Schizosaccharomyces pombe: one gene and its partner. Changing the gene in region 2 together with the main gene of any one other region gives a genetic interaction. Each region holds a gene or a part of one and is shown on either strand. Other genes may lie near its edges.

Region 1 (9,716 bases), 1.8 Mb from region 2:
TAAGCACCCTTTTGTCAATGACAACCGAATTCGAAAAAGATATCTTAAAAGAGTCATATCAGTTATTTTGGCTTCGCAGTTATTGAGGTAAATGAGTGCGTCAGATAAATTTCATGAAAACTTCATCATTCATGAGGTAAACTTTTGCATTAACATCAGTAAAAAGGTGAAAAGATGGTATAAAAATCAGTTCTAAAACAGCATTGAAAACAGTGCAAAAAATATTCATCATTAACCATGGGTAGTAGGTTCAGCGCTTTGTTTATTGACACTTCCACCGCTTTGTAATGGACGAGGATGCTGCATTCTGTTCATTCGGCCGCCTCGTCCACGTCCACGATTGGTACGCATTCCAGTTCCATGTCCCTCCATCCGGTTATTTCGATACCATCCTCTATTTTGACGATAGTACGAATCATCACGCATGATATTCACCCGCACACCTTCTGGAACTTTGATGCTTCCAAGGGCCTTTGAAACAGCATTCTGGTTTTCAACAAATACATATGCATAGTTAGTGGGGTTTACGTTTTGAGGAGCTTGGGGACTTTTGTAACGATTGAGTGAAGTACGAATTTGAATATTCGTAATCAGGCTGTCTGTCCCGTCCTTAAAGTAAGAACGGGCTTCCTCTTCAGAATTGCAAGGGGTAATATGAAATCCACAACGTTCATAACGCTGCTCACCACTATATTGACGGAATTCACGATCGTTGCCCTTCTGCATATCAGTTCTTCTACCTTCTTGTGCTTGAGATCTTGTAACATTTGCAGCATTCTCTTGTTCAAGTATGGTAACCTCTGTAGTCGTCTCACCTAGCTCGAGATTTCCAGTACCCTTAGTCACCTCTTCAACGTCAACTTCCTCTTTCCCTCCAATTGCTGGTTGTTCTTCTTCATTAGGACTAGGCTTCTCTGCTACGCCAGAAATGGGTTCTTCCTCGGCAGCAGGTGGTCCCGACTTCTCTTCGATTACTTCATGAGTCTCAGCCGACTCTTCTGTAGTATTCGCTCTTGACATTCCTAGCTCATCAGTATGTTCCTGATCGTACCCTTCAATCTGTTCTTCTTCGGTTGGTGTAGCCGTAGCTTCTCTGTTCTTGGTAAACTGTGCTTGAGATTCCACCAACCTATTGTTAGCGTAATAATAGGTACCGGTATTTTCCGAAGTTGAGCGTGGAATGTGAGATGCATAATTTTCGTTACGACGTGAAGCCATGCGACGATAGCCTAAATTAAAGCCATGAGATTTGCTTTCCACTTGAACATGCCCATTTTCGACGACAAAAACAGTCCATCCAAAGGAAGCATCTAATAAATTGAAGTTCCATAGGTTTTTAAAAGCAGTGCCGGGAAGCATGTTATTCATAGCATATGAGTTAGTTGCATCGGGCATGCGAGAGACTAGGCGAACAACATTGTTTATTAGATGATGTTGTTCAGGGGTAACCATCTTCTCAACCTCAGCCTTAACAGTGTCATACACTTCCATAAACTGTGCACGGGCAGCCGAAAGTTTTTGAAGATAATGTTCAGGACTATGATTTACGCAAAACTCATTGTAGCTAGCTCCATAACGAAAATGAAGACCGGCGGATAAAGTCAGGTCAGCCTGGCAAGCAGTAGCTAATTGAGAAAGAACACCTTCTCTTCCAATGGGATGATGCGTAATAAAAATACGTGCCTCCTCTCTGTCAAGCAGGCTCTTAGCGGTTTCTATTAGTTCACCCATTTGAAGGATTGTAGTCCACATAGTACCCTGGCCACCAGCAATAGTTCCTTTACCGTCTCCATTGTCAAAAAGCTTAAAAGGGACATAAGGACCTCCAAGACCAAGTAAACGGATTTTCATATCTCCAATTTGCAATAGGTAGGAATGAAGTTCGTCCACTATGTTAAGGTTTGGAATAGAATATTCTCCAGAACGAAATTTTTCCAAAACGTGCACATCTTCGCAAGCTCCCCATACTACATATACAGGGACTGAGAATTTCTTCTCTTGTGACAAAAATTGAGGTAATTCTGAAAGCAGGCAATCGGGGTGAGAAGCAATACTATTCTTCAAATCCCCAATTGGATTCGAGGGATAATAATCAAAGTTTTTGGACCTAGGAAGCTTTTTTATGAGAGGCGAGAATTGGACAATGTGACGAAGAGTACTGAAAAAAGGTTAGAACAAAGAAAAATGAAACATAAAAATTTTTGACACAAAACATACCGTTCAGATATGCTAGGAAGTGAGGATCGCTCAAAAAATCCAAAGTCACCAGTGTGGATGACACAGGAGGCATTGGTTTCCTCAACCAGGCTATTTATTAAACTCAGTTCACCTGAAGGGATAGTTATTAGTAAAAACGCGTATTAAAGAGTAGTAATTTTAAGGATAGGAATAGCTAAGGAGAATAAAGTGTATGGACAAAATTCTTTTACGAACCAACGAGGATCTTTAATGACAAAATGAGTAAATTGAGCAATTGCGCTTCAACTCCTGCTAAGCCATTATGGATAAGTTCATGCAAAAGCATACAAATTCGCATCTTCTTATCTTAAAAAGTAAAACGATCGTCGATAATTCCCCCGATGGGGTGCTTTTGAATTCTCGCTGGCAGCTCTAAATCCATAAACAACGCATACTTACCTCGAACATCGGCAATACATAAGATCCTGGATTTATTATCCAATGTGAGTACTTGAGCTGAAACATCCAACGTGGAATTATTCTCGGAATCTGAGTACGTTTTAGAGGATTTATTTTCCAGCGTCCCAGTTGAAGGTTCCGCTTGAATATCACTTTTAGCCGTCTTTTATGTAATTAGTTTAAAATTTTTGCAAAGATTCATTAGATCTATACTTACATCCACGCTCATTATATCGTAAAAATCTAATGAAACGGATAAAACAGTAAATGGTGTTGAGTAAGGGTTTTGTGATGATGCCTCAGTTTCGGCACTGTACTACTTCCTACTACAATAAGAGAATGTTGCTTCGTAATGTTATAACTTAGATCCACCACAAACGAAGTAAAGTAAATTAAATATATAAATACACAAAAAGCAGCAGTTAATAGATAGTTTTTGAAATTTTTAACGTGACAATTGTATTTCTGTAGTATAAAACTCCACAAAAAATAAAAATAAAAATAAAATTTAGTATATATTAATATATATATTTATATATAAATATGAAAAAAAAAGGTGCTTCAATGAAGGATTACAAAATTCTTGAGAAAGCTCGGTAATCGGGACGGCAGAGTTTATTAGGGTATATGTTAAATGTTGCAGCTTTGGAATGGAATTGTTAACTTATTTTACACATACTATGACTTAAGTTTGCCTCGTGTACAGTAGATGATGCTACAGTCTGAAGTATATTTCAATTTCGTTATATCGTTTTTCCAGGTTGAGATTTGAATACTAGTTGCAGTGCGAAATTTACAACATTTGAAGTATGTAAATGTTCTGTTTATTTGGCAAATTGAATAAAATAAGACTGTTAGCAATTTTTTCGGTTTTTTTCTATGTACAACAATACTCTTTTGTGTTATTAAATAATGCTCGTTTACTATAACTTAAACTCGTTTGTACGCTGTATTCTTACTACTAAGTATTGTCAAGATTTGGAAGCAAGGGCATCGCCCCATCAACTAGGTCATATAGTATTCGCGTGCTTCAAGTAGCACAGCAGCACATTCCCACCACCGAGTGGAATTCGAAGTTGTGTGCAGTGGTATAAATTTTGGAGAAGTGTAAGTTGTATATAATTCAAGAATGAAGAGATTTATGTAATGATTGATACAATCGGAGCTGTCGATGCATACATTCTATTAAATGACGGATGGACGAATTGTTTACATGGCTATTTGTTAGACATTCTTGTCTATGGCTGTTGCAAGTTCTTCATTTTTCTTAGATTCTCTTCCTCAAATACTTGTTGCATCTTGTTTATTCGTTTGCGTTCCGAATTTGCTAATTTTACATTCAAGAATATCGCGGCAACTGTTAGTCTGCCTAAATATTGTTTTAATTTCATTTTCTGCGTTTTCAATTACTTTTATATTTAAAAAGGTTTAACAATTACTGAATTGAGTGGTTATTTGGGAAGCCGTGTTCGAACAGCGTTCAAAATTGATGTCAGCCTTAGACCGTTGTTGATTGCGAATCAAAATGGATTGGGTTGCATTGTCGAAAAGCTGTAAAACTCATTTGTTAGATGAAGGCCTTGACGTGTCTTCAATACATTGTTTTGATCAGTATTTGATAGTAGGCCAATGTTCCGGCCAAGTCATGGTATTTGACGTTTCTACAGACAATCATTTCACTTTGATCCAAACATTTATAGCACACAAACATTCCGTTTCTTCTATAGTTTGCCTTCCATTTGAAGCTGATGGAATTGTAGACCTATCAATCATTACACTCGACGAATCTGGGTATGTTGAGCAACTCTCATTAGCCGAGCAGCAATTATCAAATTCATTATTTAACTTATTTCTTGCTAACATTTTCTCAGATTACTTTGTCAATGGCTACTGAAAACATGTGACCGACGAGCTACTTTGCAATTGTGTGACGGGCTATGTTTAAAGCTATTTAGATTAAATAACAACTTTCTTGCTGTTACCGGAACCTTTTTGAAAATATATCTCATTAGAATCTCCAACTTTCAGATAGTTGCGACTTGGACTGGTCATGAGGACTGGCCTATTTTGTTTCCGTTCAAAGACGAAGCTTTATTAATCCCTGTCGCCTATTCAGATGGATCTGTATCTCTTTGGTCAGTTGATTGGTCAGCTCTTACTTTTAAAAGAAATTCAGTTACAAAAGCAGATGTTAAACCAACTTTTGGTAAGGTTATTGATGTTGTACCAGCAGATTGCATTTCTTCCAATTATGCGCTATATGTATACTCGGATGCGGTAGTACTATTGGAATCGCATGAGAAATTTATAGCTTCATATTCACTTGCAGAGATAACATCTGTATTTGTTTTGGCTGATGGCACGGCTTGTATTTTTACTCTTTCGTCTTCAACTTTACTCAAACTTCATCAATCTCCTGAACCTCATTTCGAATTAATTTCTAAGTATTCTGGAGATTTTCCATGGAAATCGTGCACCATTTTAAAAAGTAAACCCGTTAGTTTGTGTGTTTATCCCGAAAAAATAACTTTCAATTGGTTAACAGAAGGAACCGTAGACTCATGCAATCTTTGTAAGTTGAGCAATACAGCTGCTGTTTCCTACGCTTATACGGACTCTCTTAATTTATTCCTTGGAACAACCTCTGGTTTAGTGATGTTTTCTTTGTTTGACTGGTACCTTCACAATGATCCAGCTCCTCTTTACTCTTTTACAAGGGTTTCTGGAATTGTAACATATATGAAAATATTTGAAACTGAACATTCACGCTCAATTTTAGTTGTTGCTACCAAAACTGGAAAGGCTTACTTTTATCAACAACTTCAGGGTGAAAGATGGAGATTTCTCTGCGAGCGTGCTTTGCAATCTTCTTCAATTACTAAAATTATTCATGCAAAGAAATCATTATCTTCTGGTTCATCAGGCTTATTTATTTTTATGAGTTTAGATGGCTCATTGTGTGCCTTGGATGAATCTTATAATCTGTAAGTTATCAGTGTGTTATCAGTTATTAATCGACTTTTATAGTCTAAGCTACTTGCCATCTGATGGTGCTCAAGTTGAAACTTTGTACTCATTTCCCGATTTAGATCAAATCTATGTTGCTTATGACAATTTTCAACTATTAAATTGGGACGTTGTGGATCAAAAATGTTCTGAAGGAAATTATTCAGATATTATTGACTCTTCGTTCATATCTATTGGTACTTTTGATAAATCTAACCTCCCTACTTTGTATCATGGTTCTTGTGCTTTACTCACCGATAATTTGGTTACTGTTTTTTTAGACGCTCATGATTTAGTACTGAACCTCAATTTTTCTAATGAAAATTACATAGAAAAAACGTATATTGACGAGTTCCTTGACTTTATCCAACCTCCTTTCCTAAACTCTGATATAGAGATGGAGCATCAGTTGTTAGGTACTGTTTTTGATCAATCCAGTTTGCATCTTGGTGTGGGTAAGCCAGATGGAAATGCCATACTTCGATTTGACACCGAAATGAAGTCAATAATAAATACTGCACCAAATTGTTCCGCTTTGCTGTTATATCTATATTTTTCTCTAATGGTTCCTTTATGTAAATATGATGGGCTGAGCGATACCAAATTGACTGAAGGAATATTATTAAAGTTAAAAGACCTGAAAACGGTTGATTACAGTATTTCCGTTCTTTCATACGTCTGGAATAATTCAGGCAAGGTTATGCAGGGTATAATTAAATCAATGTTGTCGAGAACATTGGAACTTATATCTCCAGAGGAACTTCAGAGGCTTATATATTATTATTTTGAGTTTTTTACGACTACAGGTGGAGAGTACTATCTGAAAAAGGAGGTGCAACATTCACTGTACATCTTGTCATTAATTGTCAGTTTACGGCCTTCAGCATTTGATGTTTCACAATTGAAATTTTTGTCTTCCTATTTATTACAAAAATCCGAAAGTATGGACTATGACTTAACAGCAATTCGCCTGTTGAGTAATGGTTTTTCCGTGTTTTCAAAACATATTGATCCTGCAAAGTTTATATACAACCTGGTTTTGTCATCCTTAGAGAATACTAAGGATTTGGATGATAAAAATAGCATTCTCTATAGATCAATAGTGGATGTCTCAGTTTCGAATGCTGTTTTACTGCTTACATGTTTATGCGATGAAGTTTATGAGCAAATGAAATCAAATTTACGTTCCGTTATACTAAAAGTTGTGTCTTTGGCAATTGAAAACACACAATCCGAATTTTCTTTATTTAATCAATTGATCACGGAAAAATTACTTCCAATCCTTTACTCTAGCCGCTCGGTTGAAGAAGTTCACGACGTTACTAACGCAATTGCAACCCAATTTCCATTTGCATGTTTTGATAGTAAGGTGGAAAAATATTCCTACATTGACGATGGTGATCTTGTGGTTTATGAAATAGCTAAAAGAAGGAAAGTCGTCAGCAAGGAAAACGCCGAATGTGATATTCAGGTATTGTCCGCCAGTCCTTCTGGTGACTATTTTGTTGGAGTCAGTGCTACGCAAAAGGAATGCATTATTTGGAAATACAGCCAAGATTTCGTAAAATTCTTGAACTTATCAACACCTTCATTAACGATCCGAAAACGTATATTATTACAAACTAACAAAACGAATGAGGTTGAAATTCCTGAAGTCCTATGGATTAGCCAGTCATCAGCAGAAGTCCATATTGGGAGCACCTTTGCTATCATTGACTTGTAGGTGGATTATGAATAAATTTTATCCATGCCACTAAATAGACGAGCCAATTTTTGTATTGGAAGTGGGAAAAACCTCAGTAGAGGCATAAAACGTGCGTAAAATGGATAGTAAAAACGACCCGATTTGTTTGTATATAAGTTTTGAATAATAATTTTTGCTAAGTTTTGAGGTTCTAGTAGAGGGGCTAATACTCTGTTTGGGGTATCTTTTTCGAACATTGTAGATTTAATTTGCCCTAAAACATAAAGAGAAAACTTGAAGTTGGGATGCTGTGATAAAACCTCTTCCTCTAATGTTTCATGTAGCGAAACTAGTGCCGCTTTTGAAGATGAATAGGCACCTGTTAATCACGTTAGAAAGGAAAAGCAAATTTTATAAAATCAACCCCACTTACCGACTCCCATCGCACTAAAATAAGCCAAGGAGGATGCTATGTTGACCACATGAGGATTTGGATCTTGTAAAAGGAGAGGAAATAATGCAGATGTAATTGCCAGCTGTCCGATCACATTTGTTTCAAAGCATCTAAATTAAGCAGTTAGAAAATAAGGCTTACTACGCTTAACCTGTACTTACTTTTGTAATTCTTGTCTTGATATAGACAGCAAATGATTTTTTGGAGCAATAGCTGCAGCATTGATCAGAGCAAAAGGGGTCCTGTTCATCTTTTTCAAAGAATGGACACATCCTTCTACGTCCTTATCTTTGGTAATATTACATTTCAAAGCACTAAATTTAGAATTGTACTGTAGAAAAGATGCAGGCTCAGTACTGTCCAAAGAGGCGACGCTGAAGCCTCTATCCAACGCCTCTTGAATAATAGCATGACCAAGAATCCCACTTCCTCCTGTTATCACAATCAGTCCTTTAGCACATGAATAGGATTGTTTCCTGAAAAGTAGAGGAAACCAAGAAAGGGTTAAGGCAGCACAAACAAGCGAAATCACCAATAATAATATATGATTCAACATCAGGGAATGACTTCTGTGAAAAATATGATAAGTTGCTGAATGGAAACTTGGCAGAAAGTCGTTAACATTAGCAGCGAACTCTTTTGTGTTTCGAATAAGTTAACGTCCAAGTTCTGATCGTCTAAAGACCCTAATATCGTATTTGACGAAGTCAAGGAGAGAACCTTAGTAGATGCTGCCAAACAAAAGCTATTTCCTAGTGTAAGCAAAAATCACGCGTAGTAGAATAATTCATTAAATCGTTGAACACTGCTTTTATAAACTTATATAATAAAGTTTTGATCAGTATCGCCAATGTTGTATTGAACTTGTTAACTAAATTATTCAATCCGTACTACGAAAAATGGAATGCCCATCCTGATCTTAACTTGATTAGTCTTATAGAGTCAAAGATAAGTGATGGTTTTTTTTTTAAAATATTACGCCTATCATAAAAAGAAGCATTAAAAAATGCGATTAAGAATTGCGTCTTCAATTTCCTTATATATTGAAACATAGTACACACTATACCTTCCCTTCATCTTCGACTAGTTGTTTTTAAAATATTTGAAAGTTTGAGCGTGCTCAGTTTTCTATGTTGCATATAGATCAAAGGAACATATGTATGTTAGTAAATATCATTGCATTCAACTATGCTATTAATTAATGTTTATTAAATGATCCCAACGCATGTTGATGTTGTATTTTGCATTTGGTAACCCGCAGTTGGAATTTTCAGGCATCTACGTACAAAGTAAATAAAGTGCAAAAGGGTCAGCTCATTAGTTTTACGGGTCCTCAATTCGATGTTGCAGATTTTACAAGTTTTTAAAATGTATTTCATTATTACTTTTTATATGCCTAATAAAAAAGCCATAGTTTAATCTATAGATAACTTTTTTTCCAGTGCACTAACGGACGTTACATTCCCATACAAAACTGCGTAGTTAAAGCTAAGGAAAAGTTAATATCATGTTAATTAAATACGCTATTTACAATAAGACATTGAACTCATTTATATCGTTGAATATGAATAACCAATTTCAGCGAATTTTTAACAAACATCGTTCACCTCGTTTAAGGATATCTTGTGTATGGGGTGTTGACTTGCTTTATCGAATAATTACCGTACCTGTAATTGGCTTGCTGGATATAGCGGTAGTCTAATATCTAGCAAAAATCTTTTGGGTGAAAAGGCTTGCAATTTCACGACACCGAACTATTTGTCATTTTTTAATAAGGAAGTTTTCCATAAATTCCTGTAATTCTCGGTTGATCTAATTGAAAAGAGTAGTTTTGCATCACGATGAGGAGGGCTTTTGTAGAAAGAAATACGAACGAAACGAAAATCAGCGTTGCCATCGCTTTGGACAAAGCTCCCTTACCTGAAGAGTCGAATT
Region 2 (6,962 bases):
GCGTTCTGTTTCAACAACAGATACACTTCGCACTGTTGTTTTCTTTGTCAGCAATTGCAAATCTTCGTCGAGAGCAGCCAGCGTGCATTCATCTCCTGTCCGCAGGAAATCAGCGACGAAGTTAAGTTGCACAGAGTTACTGGGCAAGTAATCGCACGAGACTACAGCAATTCTATTGTCCAAAAAAGTTAAATGACCCATGGCGCTCATCGACTGGAAGGTCAAGCGAATATCGCAAATATCAACAGGTATAACAGAACGATCGACAACTATTAATGGTGGCACTACAGAAACAATTACTCCGGTACCACTGTATAGCTTAGTAGAGCTGAATCCGTTGATGCTATATGGCATTCGACAATGAACCAGAACCAATGCATTTTGAATCGCTTCCATACTTTTGGATCCCTCTTGTGGTCTCGGAATTACACTAGGTCGGCGAGAAATAGACGGCTGAGGAGGAGGGAGACTTTGTCTGTCCCATGTCCCTTTTTCATCATTCCTTGAAAAGATGCTAGCCAGGAAAAAGTGTCTATCAACTGTCACTATCGTGAATTCTTCTTCATATTTACCAAGGACTCTAAAGTGCATAGGCACTCTGGCATTATCCGTCAACTGGACCAAAACATCAATGAAAGCATCCAAAGTTGGAGTGGGTTTATTGGCAAGTCTGGTAACTAAAAAATCGCGGGTTCCAGAGGACCAATTGAGCATACCAGAAGAAGCCACATATGTACCAGAATTTAAAGAAAATTGGTATGAACGAGCAAGCTGATAAGACAAATCGTGAAGCACCGCGCCTCCGACTTCCAAGAAGCGTGAAGGCGTTACGTTATGCAAGTCTTGTACAGTCAGTTGAAACGTTAAAAAACCACGTTTAGGACGATAAACATGCAGCTCAATCGTTTTACCGACCATTTCATCTAAAACTTCGAATAAAGAGACAAAATCAACAATGTATGTAGACTTATGAGAGTCTGTTTTGAAAGCAATTAATATATCGCCAGGTTCCAAAGCCTTAGAGACTTCAGAATTTCTGAGAACTCGCGAAACAACCAAAAGACCAGTACTACTAGGAACACGGGTTCTACAATCGTATTCAAATTCCCTTGGAAGGCCAATGCGACTGAGTTCGTCGTATGACCAATGTAAAAACTCGGTAAGAAGAGTACCACGAGTAATAGGAGTATTGTTCTCAATACATCGCAAAGCTCGAACAACCCGGTCCAGAGGAAGATAAAAAGAAGAGGCACTGCTGTTGGATCCTCCCGAGTTTAAAGCAACGGCGGCACCAGAGATGTCAAGAACAGGACTGCCAGAGCTGCCTCCACTAGTTCCACTAGCTGCCTGATAATAAAATGTATTAAAATCGTTGTAGTTGTCAATTCCGTAGTTTGGAGCTGGACGATCAAGACGAGCCAAAGTGGAGCTTAAAATAGACAATTTTTCACCAGCATCGTTACCAATAATTCGAATATCTATACCTACCTTGGCTGATTCAGGGGAAAGTGAAATTTCAGTGACATCGTGGAATCGAATGGAAGATGGATCATAACGAAAGAAGCCAAAGTCATGAACAGGATCTCTGTAGATGGGATAAATATCAATTTCTTCATAGTTTATGAAAGAGGCACGAGCTGAAATGGGTCCTGGAGAAACAACGTGTCTGTTGGATAAGATAAGACCAAGTGTTTTATTCACGACAAAGCCAGTTGCGCAAAAACTACCGGCGCTTTCAGTATCAAAAGAGCGTAATGCGGAGCCTTTAATGGAAACGATACTTCGAACAACATTTTTAATCGTATTATCCCATGTATGGTGAATCTCTTTGGTATCTAGATAACGTTCTTCATCTGTATTGCGAATGGGAAATGGTTCGCTAACATTGTATAAACCTTCAGCAATAACATTCTGTTGCTGGGGCGTATTACATTCAGAAGTAATTTTATCAGGACGAAATTTGGGTAGGAAAATGTGATTAGGCCGATAATCGGAGGAAACTGGAGTCATGATGAAAGGTAGAAACCGACAAGAATGTAAACAAAAGCACAAGATACAGAAATTTATAACAAACACAAAGAAAAAGCGGTTGAACACTAGGTATACTTTTGAATCTCGATAGTGTTTAACAGGCTTTGCTTTGTAAACTGGACAAGCTTTAATTGGAAGAATAAACGAATTTAAATAACAAATGAAAGTTTATAATAACTTTTGGGCAACACAAGCAAAGTTCTAAACGAGCCGCGAAATACTAATTATCAAGGCCAAATAAAACTCGAAAAGTCAATCAAGTACTGACACTTGTAAGCCTTTTTTGTAGGATAAATGGAGAACACTATATAGCGACAAAGATCTGTTTTCAGTTATACAAACATACAACAATGTCTGTTTGCAAGGAATTACAAATCAATTGCGCAATGGCTATCAGATGGATATATGAAGGAATTCCTATATAGAAATCTCAGTATCCTTAATTTGACTACTCAAGCAATAAGATAATTTACCTGAAACAGTTATAATATATTTAGTAAATCAAATATTTTGACAATCTGCTTCACTTTACTGACACACCAATGGCAAGATAACGATAATAATTGCAGACGGTGGCTTGAATAGTTTGCAGAAATCCTTTCCAATTCAGAGATAAGAAAAGATTAGCCTTTATATCTTTTTTTTTAATTAATCAAACGAAAATGACAGGAGTAACGACAAGTAGAAACAAAATACACACACAAAAACGAAACAATAAAATAAGTAATCAAGTGTATGAATGAGAAATTTTAAATCTTGTAAGCCGTAAAAAAAACGAAAAGATTTTAAAAATTCCCAAACTCCACTGTATGGACAAAAACGAAGCGAAAAGAGAATGGGATTTGCAAGAATAGTTTTGATAAGGTCAGTAGCAATCGGGGAATGCTATGATAATAAGCGTAGAACAATGATCTCCCTTTCTTTTCTTTTGCAGATAAGCTCGATCCTGAATTTTAAACTACGCAGTTAAAAGTAATATTTGCGATATGATGTCTAAATTTCGCTATTGGAAGATTCTTGTTTCATTCGTTTTGCCCATCGGCAACGCGGGCTTTCAATTCAATATATATGTAGGTGAACGATGTTTGCTGTAATAGTTAACTTCACTAGCGTCTCATACCACCAGCAGACAAAGTGCGTGGCAAGCCGTTTGATCAACAATTCTATTGCTCGATGATTTTTAAGAGTGATGTCAAAGTCCGAGTGCGGCAAAAATAAGACAGCGTAGCTTTAGAAGTGATTTCGATGAATTTCACTCAAACGGAGGATTGCGACGAACAAGGAGCCGCAATGTCGTTTGTTCAAAATCGGATTTCTTGGTTCCGTGACATTTTGCAAATAAGCTAGAATCCATCTTCATACGACTGTGTCGTATTGAATGGAAATGGAAAACTGAAAGAATGGGTTCGAAATGGAAAACGACATTCTGAGGATGTTTGACAGAATCGGTTATGTGAACCGAAAGTGAATGTACGTGGTATTAGCGTAGAATTGTTTGAAAACTAAAATGGTGTTACTTTTTGAAAACTGTTTCGTTTGTAGTAGGTTGATGGTTGAACAAGACAAAACAAAGATTATTAAGGTAGCTTTAGATTCAGGGATGTTTATTATGACAGTGTTTGATTTGGGTAGGAGATTGACAGTTTAAGTATGGAAATAGGCATTCAATAGCATATTTGAATTGAATCACTAATGAACTCGACTCGCATTACTTTAACATTTTGTCATTTGTTGTGTAGAAGAGAGTTTGAGAAGACAAATCAAAGATGATCAAAGTTGGTGTTATTAAATAAATATCATGCCGAAAATACAGCTGAAATAAATATTATATACGATTTTAACGATGTGGTGCTAGATGAGGCTGAAAATCTGGAGGTAAAATCATGTATGAAATATATATTTCTCCACAATTAACAGGTATCTTGAAGCCGTGCAGGGTAAAAGTAGTAAGGCTGTCGGTCAACACGCCAAGGAATGCATTGTGCCATTGAATGACCATATTTTAATATTAGAAGGTTGTATTGATAGTATACGGAATGAAAATTAAATTATTAGGAAGAAACGGGAGTCGAGGTTATCGCAGTAAGCATATTCTCAAAATATACAATTTCGAGCTCTAAACAAACAATGATTGGCTTCCATGTATTGGAGTCAGCAATCTGTCTCGCCGACTCCAAAGAGTGAAGAGTCGAGGTCAAGAGTGATAATACACTAGTGCGCTGAACGTCAGTTAATGGAGGCAAAGCAGCTTCTGATAAAGAAGTAGGCCCCAGTATTGAGATTAGTTTTGTTTCGACAGCTTGGATTTGATGGATCAAACGTTGGAAGAATTGCATTCCTGGAAGTGCTTGCCCGACCATTAGTCGCAAAAGATCTTCTCTTTTCTTCAATACTTCCATCCGTTTTTCAAGGGAAGATACATTAGCATGTGCATCATACTGCTCCTGCAGAGTTAAAAGGCGATCTTCCATACTGAGTGCCTTTTTCTTTTCTAGATTATCATAAGTCTGGAGTCGTTTTACAAGGGTGTTTCGTTGGTTCGTTACAATCGCCAACTTTTCCTGCAAAATTTGAATTTCCTCATCTAAATGTGTAATGCTTGTCTTTAGATTCGATATTTCTTCCGCTTTGTGCACCTCTGCCAGACTTGCTTTGGTCGATTCAATTTGGGATAAAATGTCTGTCTGCGAGTCCCAACGGCTCTTCAATTTCCTTTGCTGGCTCCTATATAAATCAGCGTTTTCTTGACAAGCTTGACACCATAACTGCAACTGCTCAGCGATGGCTTTTCGAATCCTGGTCAAGTCGTTGGGCTGTTTAGATTGAAACAACACTTCAGCCAGCTCATCCAAAAGCGATTGTATTTTCCTTTCCACTTTTGGAAAGGAGCCACTTTCTTCCATATTGTCAAAAAGCTCTAAGCTACGCGTTCTTGTCGATAAGCCAGAAGAAGAGGTACCTTCATCATTCAGCATCCCTTCATTAGACTTGTTTGGGAATTCGTCTAGCGGAATATATTCTTGTTTCATTTTAAAAAGGTATAATACACGAAAAATCTAGTAAATGCGTAAATTTGGTAAGTTCAACCCTTTTTTCTTCATAACAGAAAATTATATCGCATTCAACATCACTAGTGTAAGTTTTTCGCTTTTTTTATATACGAATCTTTATTTTTTCAGTCTTCCTATCTTTTCAAGAAACCAATCCGTTCAAAATCACACTGTAAAATGTATTTCTTAACTATCAGTGTGTGCAAATGTCTATGTGCTATAGTGGAACAATGTTGAATAGTCGCGAACTTGTGTTTATGAAGCCAGTAGACCTTTAATAACAATTCAGACTTTCTCTATCTCAAATATTTTTTTTAGTCAACTAAAATTGCGTATTAGGAGCGCCACTACTATCATGAACTTCAGTCCAAATATTAAACTAAACTTACAACATCTTAGAGTTTTTGGCACCAAAAAAACTTTTGAATATCCTGTTGTGTCTATTATTTCAATTTTTTATTGTATTTCTATATGATTCAGTATATTTGTAGCAAGGCTTTTGATAACGTAAATATACGTCGCCTTTCATACACACATCCGAGTAAAAGAAAAAGCGACAACCAAAAGACGGGGAGACCAATAAATCTAGTAAAATCAAAGAAAAGAAATAATGAAGGTATATCCTTTCGCAAAGATTAAATGCAATGTTGAAATCCACGTGAACCGACCTTTAAATAACGCCAGGTTCCAGCCATGACTTAACTGACTCCATATATATATTAAAATAAGAAACGTTTAAAGATATGGATTATAAAAATAAGAAATACTCAAACGTGTTTGATTTGTAATAATAATCGACAAACACCAATAGGATTTTAGAGACTAGAAAGTTGAGCCCGACGATCAGAAACGAATAGTATCAAAAAATAGGAAGAGGAAAAGGTTCAAAAGTAGATTCTAATTGGAAAGCTTGCAGTCTAAACGATAAGTAAAATAAAAGAGGAAGAATGTACAAACATTAAAAATCACTATGATTATACTAAACTTCATTACTCAAGAACTCGAGATGGAGCCTCTAATGGATGCAACTGTGCTAAATAAGTAATTGCCCTAAGAACGATGTTAGTAAAAAAGAAAAACAATATGGATGCATAAGAACACCACAAATGCACTAACCATAATAAATAGCAACAAGAAAAAGTAAGAATTAATGACATCTGCCAAGTACTAATTGAGAGTTAATAAAACTTTTGTTAAAGGAAGGAGTATGAAAATATAATACAAGCAACTGATCCCAATTCCAGATTGTCCATGTGCAGCTGAAGACAAGGCCTAAACAGCGCTACCTTGATTGGTTGCAAGAAAGACAATCACATATACTTTTCCATATCTCTAAACGAAAATGAAACGAAGTAAAAACAAGCTACTGATCATAACACAAGACTTTAAATGGGAACATAATTGCTATACCTCGATATATAGATGATTCACTCCAATCAGTAGCAAACTTCTTACCTAGTATTATTTCCCTTGGGCGAGACATAGTAAGAAACTACACTCATTAAGGCCGTCAAAAGGCCGACAAGTAAAACAACGAGACCACCCATTAGAATGCAAATTACCTACTTTCAATAAATGTAACTTGCACGTTAATGGTAAATTATCGAATGTGCGTCTCACATGAACATATACTGCAAATTAGTGACACCACGCATAGATAACGTAAACATAAATCAGGTAACAATAATCATACAAAGGCATTAAAAAAATGCTTAACATAGCCTTCCAGTTATATGAATACGATCCTTGAATAAAAAAATGCTCTTTAATGCTAGCGGACATCATAAAGACACCCTTCCTCCATTTTTTCTTATGAATTCTATTTATGGTAACCCTCAATCCATTACGTTAAACTAAATATTTAACAAATTTACATTACCG

The links. Genes that interact genetically often act in the same process or in processes that back each other up.
Region 1: mutations in SPOM_SPBC1685.04 (region 2) and wdr7 together harm fitness less than expected from each alone (positive genetic interaction), as found in Schizosaccharomyces pombe (2 studies listed by BioGRID).

What each region holds. Positions count from the first base shown.
Region 1 is NC_003423.3:2,267,223-2,276,938, reverse strand, and holds wdr7 (WDR7-like protein), read left to right. Parts: upstream 1-3,686; 5' UTR 3,687-3,744; intron 3,745-3,981; 5' UTR 3,982-4,162; coding exon 4,163-4,428; intron 4,429-4,508; coding exon 4,509-5,621; exon of another isoform or gene 5,622-5,664; coding exon 5,665-7,366; 3' UTR 7,367-7,371; downstream 7,372-9,716. Other genes in the region: SPOM_SPBC16H5.12C (uncharacterized protein), read right to left, coding at 232-2,158, 2,218-2,329, 2,638-2,800, 2,855-2,866; SPOM_SPBC16H5.14C (DHRS family dehydrogenase), read right to left, coding at 7,372-7,706, 7,761-7,891, 7,943-8,337; imidazoleglycerol-phosphate dehydratase His5, read left to right, coding at 9,623-9,716.
Region 2 is NC_003423.3:500,971-507,932, reverse strand, and holds SPOM_SPBC1685.04 (uncharacterized protein), read right to left. Parts: upstream 5,270-6,962; 5' UTR 5,061-5,269; coding exon 4,083-5,060; 3' UTR 3,740-4,082; downstream 1-3,739. Other genes in the region: htr11 (serine protease), read right to left, coding at 1-2,010; vma9 (V-type ATPase V0 subunit e), read right to left, coding at 6,071-6,131, 6,198-6,248, 6,537-6,628.